Danio rerio: one gene and its partners. The protein of the gene in region 1 binds, or shares a complex with, the protein of each later gene. Links are inferred from orthologs where the notes say so. Each region holds a gene or a part of one and is shown in the gene's direction. Other genes may lie near its edges.

Evidence for each region. Proteins that work in one complex are often made in the same cells at the same time.
Region 2: apba1a (region 1) and lin7c share a complex: the UniProt entries of both Homo sapiens proteins name them as parts of the brain-specific heterotrimeric complex. The link is inferred for Danio rerio from reciprocal best matches to the Homo sapiens genes APBA1 and LIN7C.
Region 3: apba1a (region 1) and lin7b share a complex: the UniProt entries of both Homo sapiens proteins name them as parts of the brain-specific heterotrimeric complex. The link is inferred for Danio rerio from reciprocal best matches to the Homo sapiens genes APBA1 and LIN7B.

The regions. Positions count from the first base shown.
Region 1 is NC_133180.1:56,742,854-56,746,997, forward strand, and holds the start of apba1a (amyloid-beta A4 precursor protein-binding family A member 1), read left to right. Parts: upstream 1-1,344; 5' UTR 1,345-1,432; intron 1,433-4,144. UniProt on the Homo sapiens protein: Putative function in synaptic vesicle exocytosis by binding to Munc18-1, an essential component of the synaptic vesicle exocytotic machinery. May modulate processing of the amyloid-beta precursor protein (APP) and hence formation of APP-beta.
Region 2 is NC_133182.1:31,966,181-31,970,472, reverse strand, and holds the start of lin7c (protein lin-7 homolog C), read left to right. Parts: upstream 1-1,488; 5' UTR 1,489-1,606; coding exon 1,607-1,643; intron 1,644-2,468; coding exon 2,469-2,587; intron 2,588-4,292. UniProt on the Homo sapiens protein: Plays a role in establishing and maintaining the asymmetric distribution of channels and receptors at the plasma membrane of polarized cells.
Region 3 is NC_133178.1:30,723,290-30,727,558, forward strand, and holds the start of lin7b (protein lin-7 homolog B), read left to right. Parts: upstream 1-1,465; 5' UTR 1,466-1,660; coding exon 1,661-1,697; intron 1,698-3,030; coding exon 3,031-3,149; intron 3,150-4,269. Other genes in the region: snrnp70 (U1 small nuclear ribonucleoprotein 70 kDa), read left to right, coding at 1-535. UniProt on the Homo sapiens protein: Plays a role in establishing and maintaining the asymmetric distribution of channels and receptors at the plasma membrane of polarized cells.

The DNA.
Region 1 (4,144 bases):
TTGTATTTTTCTTCATGTGATGTCTGATAAGCTGATAAGGTACTGTAGGTTTTTAATAAGCATCTCATTATGTATTTTATATTTATTTGTATTAAAAGCTGCATCAACCATAGTTGTTTTGTCAGTTGCCTACCACATTAAATAAAACTACTCTTGAAACAGTCCATCTCATATTTTGCTTTCATGTTCATTTTTAATTCATAACTTTTTTTATTTCCCAAAATCATTTCATATTATGGAAGTTAAGCCATTTAGGATCCTACTGTTCAAATGCTTTAAGTCAAGATATTCATTTATTTTATTTTTGACTTAGATTCTTTATTTATCTGGGGTCGCCACAGTGGAATGAACTGCCAACTTGTCCAGCATATGTTTTATGCAGCGGATGCCCTTTCAGCCGCAACCCATCACTTGGAACCATCCATACATATTCATTCACACACACTAACGGACAATTTAGCCTACTTAATTCACTTATAGCACATGTCTTGGGACTTGTGGGGGAAACCGGAGCACCTGGAGAAACGCACGCGAACACTGGGAGAACATGCAAATTCCACACAGAAATGCCAACTGACTCAGCCGAGGCTCGAACCAGCAACCTTCATGCTGTGAGGCGATTGCGCTACTCACTGCACCACCGTGACACACTCAAGCTATCTTAATGAAGAATAATTTAAGATAACTTGCTTTTACCAAAGATAATTAGATGTCCACAGAAAATAAAAGCGTTTTGTGTAAGGTTTCAAAGAGCTTGCAGAACGACAGTGGAAAATGAAACCATATCCGTGCTATCTGGGCCGGTTTGGAAAAGAATTGGAACGGTTCACCATATAAACGATTCAGCACGATAGTGGAAAAGCAGCTTAAGTTACAACCTTTTAAGTTCTTAAATGTTTGAGTGAAATAAATAAATAAACATAGTTTAATGTAATGAACATTTCCAATGCTTATTCATTTCTATTAAAAAAATGCTTTTTCTGAGTTAGAATAGCAAGTGTTTTCATTTATTGTGACTGGAAATGGGTATTTCACAAAACAACTAATTCCATAGCTATTCTGAAGTTATAATTGTGTGTAAATTTTAACTAATTTCAAATATTGCTACTTCCTTTTTAATCTGGCATGGATAGACATTTGCACCCATCTCATTCCACTGAAAGGGCTTTCTAACTATGCACTTCATGACAGCTATGTGCTCGCACCCCTTCTTCATGACAGCTATGTGCTCGCACCCCTTCTTGTTCTGATGTTTAGCCGAGTTCATCTAGTTCATTGAGAAATTAAGCAGCGTTCGGTGACGTTTGATTAGCGTTTGATATGGGAGGAGTCGGATTTGCCCACAAACTGACAGAAAGCAGACAGGCGATGAAGATGGTGGATCCAGACACACATCGGGCGGACCGTTAGATCGCAACAAACCGCAGTAAACGTAAGTGAGAGACGAGGCACGAGATTTCATTTCACGCCTTATGTTCAGTCGCTGAAAATGTTAGGTTAAACCGAACCGGGTATTGAATGTTTTTGTACCTCAGCGAGAGTCATTGAGGTTTGTTCAAAGTGACTGTTGTAATGTTTGTCGCTTTTCCTGCGGAAAACAGGCAGAATAGCAGGCTGTTTGTTTACACTGGAAGGACCATATGTTTCTATGGCGTGGAAAGTACATTTAGGTTTACCAACAAGAAATGCAATGAATACATAAATGGGAAGTGAAGTTAGTAGTTCTCAGTCAGTACGTACATGCAATGAAATTTTTTTATCCTAAATAATTGTTCCACATCATTTGTAATTAGAGCAATAAGCATCATATGGTGATTGACTGTTAGTTTAGAATATGGTGACTCCATACGTTCACCAAAATGCCTTTTCAGTGTAACTTTTTTCTGTACACCAGTAGATGGCGACAACTATGATTCACCAAAAGTTTGGCTGCGTTCAAGTCCAATTTTTTTACGCCCTTCACTTGCTAACTGCCCTCTGTATCTTATTGGGTGTCTGTCAATGATTTTGTTTATGCAAATGTCTCCTATTGGTGGAACATCTGAAGCGTTTAAATGGAATGCTTTAGGAATCACACTGTTGTGATGTCACTATCACTTATAGGTGCTGGAGTGGACATATGAAGCAGACTTGCTTCCTTGATTACTTGATGAAGTGGAACACACTTCAAAATTATGTTAGGGATTCCCCCGAGGGAAAAAGGGAAGGAAAGTGTCTGTCTAAAAGTGCTCTGGAAAACAGTCATTGAGAAGGGTCAGGCTGCAGACTGGGAGCAGATGCAAGATGAGCTGCATGCTTAACCCTGCCTCTCATAGGGACGTCACAAGCTTTATTGAGTGCATTGTGTATGAGATTATGTCAGAGACAGTCAGATACTATTGCAGATAATCTCCACTGTTCTATAAAGGCAAAACTATGACTGCATCTGAAAACTTATGCAGCTGATTTCCTGTTAAAGTACTTTTCTGTATTTTGAAACTTTATATGAAGGGTTGCAACAAACATAATCCAAGAGCATCCTCCCTGTACAGCCAAAACACCAGGGGATGCCGATTGCTCCTAAATCTGAAGGGCTGTTCAAATGAATATGCTAACTTATTTAGGCTTGAAAACACTTTGGAATGAATATATTTCCTATGACAACAGCACCTCACAAAATTGATTTTAGAGAGACTTACAAGAGAGCATAATGAGTTTTTTTTCCTATATAAGTCATAGTGTACACAACAATATCTGGGCTTGCTGCATCACAAATACTAAAATGGTAACAATTTATAAAAAAATGAACAACTTTCTGGCCATCGGATATTAGGCATGGACATATATATAGCGATCGTAGAGCACTTGGACCCGGAAGCCACTTTGCGTGACGTCACACTTAACAAGCGGATTAGCTTTGGGTAAGTCAATGCAACAGCATACTGCTTTAGCTTAGTTTACTGCTCATCAGAACTCAAAATATGTGAAAACAGATTAAAAACATATTTAGTGCCTCCCATAAGTGGCATAAAGTCTGTTAAATCTTTTATTAGTTTAATGTGTATATTGCTACGTTTTTGGTGTATGTCTGTTATTAGATGACAAGCAAAAGTTGAATAAGTTCTTAATGCACATTGATCATCATGTCATATCACTCCAAGGGCGTAGATTCGCTCTTGATATGGTGGGGACATACATCCCTAGAGCGCATGCATTGAACAGCACAAATTCTGTTTTTGCTCTTTTAAAAACATGATTGAAACTTAAAATCTTAAAGGGCCATGAAACCACCTTGTTTCAGCAGGGTTTTTTCCACACCTCTACTTTGGAAAAGTCAGGAAAGTGGGCGTGTCCAGCTCTGTTTAGGGGGGAGTGTCGGACGAGCAAAAGAGGCAAGGTCTGTAAAAATTTGCATAATAATGGGAGTGTCGGTTTGGGCATACGCTAATTTTCAGAGAGGCAAAACACACACACACACACACAGGGGAGAAAGATAGTGACTGTGCTTACATGGACACCAGTAATCAAATTATTTGACAAATTATTAAATGATGGACTTTAACTGAAGTTTGGCACTTTCATTCAGGAATTTCATTCATGCCTATTTTAAAGATAGAAATATCCGCTTTGCGCCATGTCGCATGGTCTAACAGGGTTAAGCTTAATCTCTTAATGAGTTATAGGTATTTTTTGAGAATAAACCACTCAGTCTCATCATCCATTTTCTTCAAGAGTCAGTTGCGTCACGCCATAGTGCATTTGCTATTTACATGGCGGACTTTGTAAGTGGGAAAACTGAATACTTCACTAGAAAGAAAACAGTTAAACAGAGCATCTACGGCCAAGAAAGAGCCTCCTCATTCTTTACTTTCACTCTTGTGGATAAGGAAATGTGTTGTACGCACAGATATCCATTAGCCTATACATAATTAATTTTGTTTATTAAGCGCAAATATTTTTTTCAAAACTATTTCTAAATTCACTTCTAATTTCCAGCAAATGAATAAATAACCAATAATAACGAAGTGTGCTCAAAAAACTGAGTTACTGTATATCCAAATACACATGGTATGCCCCATATGGTCTAAAACCTGACAGATGGCCAAATATAAGCTTGTTTTTATAAAACAAATATAAATATGCATATAATAAATAATACTTCTAA
Region 2 (4,292 bases), on another chromosome or scaffold:
CCTAAATAAAACAAATAAGACTTTCTCCAAAAGAAAAAAATATTATCAGACATGCTGTGAAAATTTCCTTTCCCTGTTAAACATAATTTGAAAAATATATATAAATAAAAATAAAATAAAAATCTTTCCCCATTTTTTGTTTAATGGAAAGAAGATTTTTTCAACACACTTCTAAACATAATAGTTTTAATAACTCATTTCTAATAACTGATTAATTTTATCTTTGCCATGATGACAGTAAATAATATTTTACTAGATATTTTTCAATACACTTCAATACAGCTTAAAGTGATATTTAAAGGCTTAACAAGGTTAATTTAACTAGGCAATTAGGCAAGTTATTGTATAATGATGGTTTGTTCTGTATATCAAAAAATATATAGCTTAAAGGGGCTAATAATTTTGACCTTAAATTTTATTATTTTTTTAAATAAAAGTTTCTTTTATTCTAGCCAAAATAAGACAAATAAGACTTTCTCCAGAAAAAGATATATTATCAGACATGCTGTAAAACTTTCTTTGCTCTGTTAAACATAATTTGGGAAATATAAAAAAAAAGAAAAAAATACAAAAGTACAACAATTATTTTTGCTTGATAAAAAAAAAAAACGTGCCGTTTGGTCATCAATATTTAATATTTCAAAGTCATATATATGTATTTGTATCCTCTATAAATGTTTTTTCTAAGAAAAATAGTTTTACAAAAATATGTAATTTGTTATCATTAATTACTTCAACAAAATAAACATTTTTAAAGCATTAATTAATCTTAACATTTTTTAGCATTAGCAACAAATAATTTTTATTTAAATAATATATAAGTAAACATATTTCATGTAACTAATATAACAGAACCAACAATGAAAACACAGTCATATATTTCTTGATAGTAATGTGATAACATTGTTAAAGTTTTTTAAATGTATCATCTGATGTCAAAATAACCCAAAAATAATACCCTAAAGTGTGCCTAAAGATTTCTAAAATAAACAGTTGTAGTCTGAATTGTAAAAAAAAAATTTAATAAATAAATAAATAAATAAATCATCATATATAAATGCATTCCTTACCTGGAATAAACTATTCATTCATATGGTTTAAAATGTATGGAAATATTTCTGCCCTTGGATTCTGATTGGCTAATACATTATCCAATTGAGCGTGGGTTATGTTGTTGACCATATATCACTGTATAGCTGCCATAACATTATTTTCTTAACTAGTCCAGTAACATATTACTGACAGTAAAACAGCCCTATTACACGTGTCTACTATCTGAATTGTAATAATTTATGCAGTCAAACTCGATGTCCTAAACAAAATACCAAGTCGAACAGTCCATATTTGCTTTAAATATATTGTTTAATGTTAAAATTATATATAATATATTCCAATTTCATTGAGAAAATCATAATAAAGTCAGTTTGTTATGGTATGCAAAGTGTCTGCGCGGAAGCAACGCAGGAATGACGCTCTTGACGCTCATCCGTAATCTCGGTGCATTAGCCACAACGCTTAAGCTCAGCAAGCTAACAGCAACAAACACAGCCGCCGAGTCGCAACTCTGGAGCTTTCACCAAACGCAAACTCAACAACCAGGGCTATAATGGCCTCTTTAGGAGAACCTGTACGTCTGGAAAGAGGTAAGCCGCGCACCGAGACACTTTCTGCCGTACGTGAAGCAGGATGTTGTGTAAATCACGCTTTTTGTTCTCCCGCTGTCACTTCGTGAGGATGGATTAGTGCTCGACAGAGAGCTAGCATCAATTCACCGTTCGAGATCATACACGTTTTTCTATAAACTAAACTACGTTCACAAAACGTATAAAATGTGCAATACGGACATTTATATGTCGTTAAAGCGGTGAGTTTACGTTCAACGAAAGGAAAACACGAGGGTAGCTGTCAAAAGCGTTAATCTTTTGTGAGCTCTGTTAGCATGGGCACTTCAGGTCAGAGATCAGTGCATCTGAGTATTTCTAGGGGTTAGTAAAGTCTTTCAGTGACGTCCTAATAGTCAGCAACTTATTTTGAGTTTAACTGAAGCTTTAATACACAGTAGAGTTAACTTAGGCTAGTAGATCAGCTAAAACTCTGATTTATGACCGTCTGTTTTTATCTTAATATTTACATGTATCTGTATAAATCAAGAAGAAACCGGTAAGTAGCATTATAATAGTAAATAATTTCATTCTTAAGTTATTTAGTTTTTATTTACAAACATTATTTCTTTTGGGTAGCGTTAAATTATATACTAGTAACGTTACATACAATATATGGCGCAATATTAATAACAACAACAACAACAATAATATTTGTCATAAAGAAAGGATTTGCTAAAATGTTATCTGCGGTCCGTGTTGTTGTTTTATTTATCAGGGAAAGCTGTTTAGCCACAGACAACATCTCCAGATGGCATGATGCAAATGATTATCCATGGTCTTGGTCTTACATATGTTATTCTACAGACATATCTCGTGCCATTGAGCTGCTGGACAAGCTCCAGAGAACAGGGGAAGTGCCACCCCAGAAGCTGCAAGCCCTTCAGAGGGTTTTGCAGAGCGAGTTCTGCAAGGCCGTAAGGGAGGTAAGTGTTCCAACATCACATTCATGCTTTCAAGTTAAATTTAAACGTCTTCTTACAATTTTGAGGGATGTAAACAATAACAACGGTCCTGACATATTTCCGTTTTTTAATTTATTAAAATTTATTTAAATTTCCAAAGATTCTAAGAGTCCAAGATGTTCCACATATTGATAAATAGTGTTACGATAGCTGTTATAACATCAAGTTATGAATAAATTGTCTCGTTACAGGTATAAAATAGTTTGATAACAAGCAGAAAATGTTCATTGGCCAATGACATTACCACATTGAAATGGTCTATAAAATTTCTAGGTTTGAAAACTGGGGATTGTTTTGCATTGGTTACCTTTTTAATGCTACGAATTAACCTTAACAAATCTGTTACAGAATACAGATTCTAATGCTTCAAACTTCATATTACATTAAGCACATTTTCGCTTTTAAGTACGATACTTAAGTAGAGATCTCTCCTTACCCCAGAGAATAAATTATGTCTGCTGCATATAATCCCTTAAACATGTCTCTTATAGCCTCTTATAGGTGTGAACATGTAATGGTCAGAAGCAGATACAGTATATACAAAATCATTGATAAAACATAAACAAATTGGTAAGAAAAATGACAAACAATGCAATTTGTATGCAAATGATGGAGTAGGAATTCAACATGTATAAGTAAAGAAAAAGTTAGAAGTGCATATTTGATGCATAAGAAGATAAAATCCCCACTATAAATCCATTACTTCTTTACTAAAAGGAAATAGGCATATACATTACTGTTTATTGCAGTAAGTATATTACAAGAAGTTATATTATTAAATATTCATGTTAAAATATATATTTATGTAATATTTCCAGACAGGTTTTAGTGAACTTTCAATATTGTCAAAAACACAGAACTTTTAGTTTTTGTTTGTAAAAAGGCCTAAATGCATGCAAGGTCATTCAAATCTTTTTACACATCTCCAACAAACACTTGCAATCGGTTCATGAGATCGGCCAGATCAGAGAGTACCGATTGAGTTATTAAATGCGTTTAATGGCCGATACCGATCTCTGGCTGATCAATCGGAGTATCCCTATAAATAATGTTTATAATGAATGCCTCTAACTATTCTTACATATTTATTTATGTAATGAGCATGTTATAATGTAATAAAAAATTTTGTTTTAAAATTTAGATTTAGGGTTATCGGCAGTCTATTTTACATCGTTCCTGAATTTAATTTGAAAATGGGTCTGATATTCCAGTGTAACTAACCAGACATCAGCATAAAATATATTTATAGCATCTAAATAGGTTATTACAGGTGAGTCTTTAGAAAGCACCATCTATTAGCTTAGAGTGGCTTATGCTTATAAAAGAAAAGTTGTGCATAAAGCCCTATGGATATTTGTCTGCGTTTTATGCAAATGACTAACTCTGGGCATGCAGCTGCTGTTTTTAAAGTACAACCAATTCATTAACATCATAAAAAGGATAACAAATTGATGCCCAAATAAAGTTTTGGTAAGAACTTCTCTTATTTGTATTCTGCTAAGGCGTTATTGGTGAATGAGATCCGCTGTGTGATGCTGAGGGGGAAAAAAAAGTAAGGTGTGATGAATGTGCCAAAGACTGACAGGTTAATAATACAAAAAATTGAGCAGGCGGATGTTGTTTCATCCTCACAAGCTCCTCTCTCTTTTTTTTTGCCCAAGTACTC
Region 3 (4,269 bases), on another chromosome or scaffold:
GGATAGGAAGAGAGACAGGGAAAGAGGAAAAGGTGCAGAAGGAGGGGAGGAAGGCATGGGCGGGCTAGTTGATGGCATGATGCCTGAAGGGGGAGATAGGGGCATAGAGGACCCCTTGGGTGGTGAACCAGGGCGAGGTGAGGAGGGAGGACCTGAAGGAGAGGAAAGGGGGAGGGATCGAGACAAAGACAGGGAAAGAGATCGTGATAGGAAGCGCAGCCATCGAGATAAAGATAGAGAAAGGGATCGGGACAGAAGGCGGGACAGGGATAGAGATCGTGACCATAAGCGAGACCGTGGAGATCGGGACCGTGGGGAGCGAAGGGAAGATCGACACATTACCTCCTCCGGAGATCATGAGGGTTTGGGTAATGGAGGTGAAGAAGGTGAAGAGCCAGTGCCACCGCAATCAGAAGAAGGTTCACAGGATGGGATGAGGATGATGATGATGGATCAGGATTCCATGCAGTCGGGAGAGGGCTATGCCTCCAATGAAAATGGGTACAGGATGGAGGCCCAGGGTGATGAGTACTAAAAGTGCCATCGTTGTGTGAATGATTGTAGGTTATCTAGATGTAATGTTGATTTGATCCACAAATATCTTCAACCATTATTTAATGCCTCCACCCTTTGCTTGCACTGTCCACAGCGTGTGAGTATTATACTGTACTAATAACAGCTGTCACTGAGAGAGCTTAGTGTCTCCCTGGTAAGAAGCGTCCTATTGTTAAAATAAACATTATGTAGCTAAACTGTGAGCTTTTTTATGTTTTTAGCTCTGGTAAACCTATTTCTGGGGCTTGGACTACAGTAAATAATTAGCTTAATGATGCATTTGAATTCCCTGTCTAACATTATTTTGATATCAAATGACCATAACTGGGAGGGGATTTCTTGACTGAAGCACTGTATTATAATACAGTGTAGTTTCAGTCAAAGATAAGTATTTGTTTGTTGGAGTTATTGGGGTTGTTTTAGTACTGTTATGTCCATTTTCATAGATGTTTGCGGAGTACAATAGTAACGTTTCATGGGTTAGTACATTTATCTGTAACATTCTTTTTGTATTGGTCTTCCCTTTAATTTCTCTGCTACTTTATTTTCATCATGTACATTTTGTTTCATATTTGGTCCTGTACATGGATCGTTTACAAATCGTACAGTTGCCCCTTATTTTACAGCAGGAACAAAGGCAGAAAATATGACACCTGCTTTTAAATGGGAATGTCTGCCATGGTCTCACAGAAATTGCTCTTAATTTTATGTATAGGTTTTTTCAGTTTGTATCTGGTCGTATTTGTTCTGCTTTAAATTCTTGAATAAATACTTTTTTATTGCCGAAGTAGTGTTTTGGTTATTTATTTAAATCTTACGGTGTTAAACGAGCTTGTGGGTTGCAAAACGACTTGAACTCGCGCCTGTGACGTGTGGTCTTGCGTCATCCAGTAAGCTGCCGCTCTGTACGAGCGCTCAGACCCGCGCATCTCGCCATCAGAGCTGGATCGTCTGCGCCTTCAATATTGTTTTTACATACTTAAAGCTCATCTCAAATTTTGTTTTGAAATATTAATTTGGTATAACGTCGCTGAAAGCGGTTCAGTCCTCCACTGCAGCAGTCTTCATGATGTCATCGTATTATCATACGGGGAAAGAGGTGGACATGGCGGCGATGACAGAACCGCTGTGCTTGGAAAGAGGTAATTTACTCCGTTCTCATTGTTGTGTGCAAGCCACGGAGAGTGGCGTTGTGCAAATATTAAAGCTGATAGCGTTGCTAACGCACTCGCTGGTTCTTGTGTTTGTTAAACAAGCAGCAGCAGTGACCACTGAGAGGCGCACAGTCTCCATAATCTGAATGAATGGATGTTTGCCCCCCTCACCCCACAGTAGGGTGTGCTAGTGTTTGTGTAAGGCTTAGAATTCATTGAATAATAATAAAAAGACAAACAAAACAAGGCTATGTGGGTGTTTAAGACAGAATGCTATTTTTATATACACGGGCTTATTTTGTATCACTGGTGGATGATTTGGACTGAAAGCTTAATAGATACAGCAGGTTATTGGGTGTTTCTGATTTTTTAAGGCACTTGTAAAACACTGATAGTTGGCTTTGCATTCCTGATAAACTTAAAATATTTGACAGTATTGGACAGAAAATTTGTTCTATCAAAACATTTTAACTGTCGAGATTGTGTTATAAATATTTTGCTTAAATATAAAGAAATCCAAATGTTTTTTTTTGTTTTTTTTTCGGGAAACCGTTTGTATTTTGTACAATGATGTACAGAAAATGCACACTGAACTTTACAATAATTTGAAAAAATTTTTTACTCCATAACCCTCAAGTGGTTAAACTTTTATGAGTTTCTTTGACTTTTGTTGAACCCAAAGGTAGTATTTTGAGGAATGTTGGAAACGCATAACATTTGACTTTGGGTGAACTATCCCTATAAGACTGGTATTAATCAGGAGTCGCCACATTAGTATAAACTGCCAACTTATACAGCATATGTTCTACGCAGCAGATGCCCTTTCAGCTGCAACCCATCACTGCGAAACACCCATACACCCATTCACACACAGACTAGTCAAGTCAGCTTACCCAATTCACCTATAGCGCATGTCTTTGGTCTGTCTGGGAAGCCACAGCACCCGGAGAACACCCACGCCATCACAGGGAAAACATGCAAACTCCACAGAGAAAAGCCAACTGACCAAGCATAGGCTTTAACCAGCGACCTTCTTGCTGTGAGGTGACAGAGCTACTCACTGTGTGTCCCCGAACTTTATAATAATTTAAACAAATCTAGAATAATATCTTCCTTTCTGTTTGTGCAAAAATAATGGTTTAATTTACAGTTATTTATTTTATTGGGAATGAAAGTAACCATTTATTTTTTTCACATTATTTGGAAAATTAAAGTTGGATAAGCTTTCTATGTGTATAATATACTTTTATTTGTTTCGTTTGCTGCAGACACAAACATGTCTTTGATCTATATATTTCTATAATATTGACTTCTCCTGCAGATGTCTGCAGAGTGATTGAATTGTTGGACAGACTGCAAAGAAGCGGTCAGCTTCCTCCTCCCAAACTCCAGGCTCTCCAGAGAGTCCTTCAGAGCAAATTCTGTGCTGCCATCAGAGAGGTAAAATCTTTCTTCTGTCCTTCAAACGTAAGGATGCTTGACTCTAGTAATAACTCATCCTTGTGCTTCTAATTAGAGCGTCGCTCAATTGTGAAAAATGTAATAATTCCTTCCTTTTTCTTGTATTGATTTCACAGAACACTAATTGGATATATGTAACTAGGTATACAGTTGAGGTTTGAAATGCGTATCACATAAGACTGCACTGTCCTTTTCCTCCTCCACATGAGTATTTATTTCTTCTCTCAGGCAGAACTGCATTCCACTGTTCCTCCTCCTGAATGACTCACTTTCCTGCCTCTTTGAGATGGCATCTCACTTCAGCTTTATTGTCTCACTCCTTGACTTGTGATAATGGGTTCCAGTAGCAAGAGCCCAGTCTGTTCACTTCTCATTCACAAGAGTCAAACACATTCTTTTACAATTACGTAGTCTTGTCACACTAAATCAGTTTTCACATATCCATCAGGTGTCCTTCTCTCCACGTGGCTGACATTATTGGCGTGTTGGCGTCTGCATGGGAAAAGTAATGATAACATTTTAAAACATGACCAATATTATCTGTTTTAATCACAGAAGTTAAATGAACTGAGATCCTTGTGGAGAGTATATTGAAATTGATATCAGATCAGCTAAAAAGAAATTGTCAGTGAAATATTTACAATCCTCTTGAGTCTATATTGAATGATCAGTTTTTGTTGAACTTTAGTAATTGATTTTGTTATTTTCCATATTGTAAAATTAAGCACATCTCAGTCTCTGTCAATCAGAACTGATATCTATTTAACTGTGCATCTAGAAAGTATTCACAGCGCTTCACTTTTCCCACATTTTTTATGTTATAGCCTTATTCCAAAATGGATTAAATTTGTTTTTTCCTCAACATTCTACACACAATACCCTTTAATGGCAATGCGAAAAAAGCTTCTTCTTTTTTTAATTGTTGAAAATGTGAAAAAAAAAAACTGAAAATCACATGTACATCAGTATTCACAGCCTCTGCTCAATATTTTGTTGATGCACCTTTGGCAGCAATTACAGCTTTAAGTCTTTTTGAATATGATGCCACAAGCTTGGCACACCTGTCTTTGGGAACTTTTACCCATTCCTCTTTGCAGTA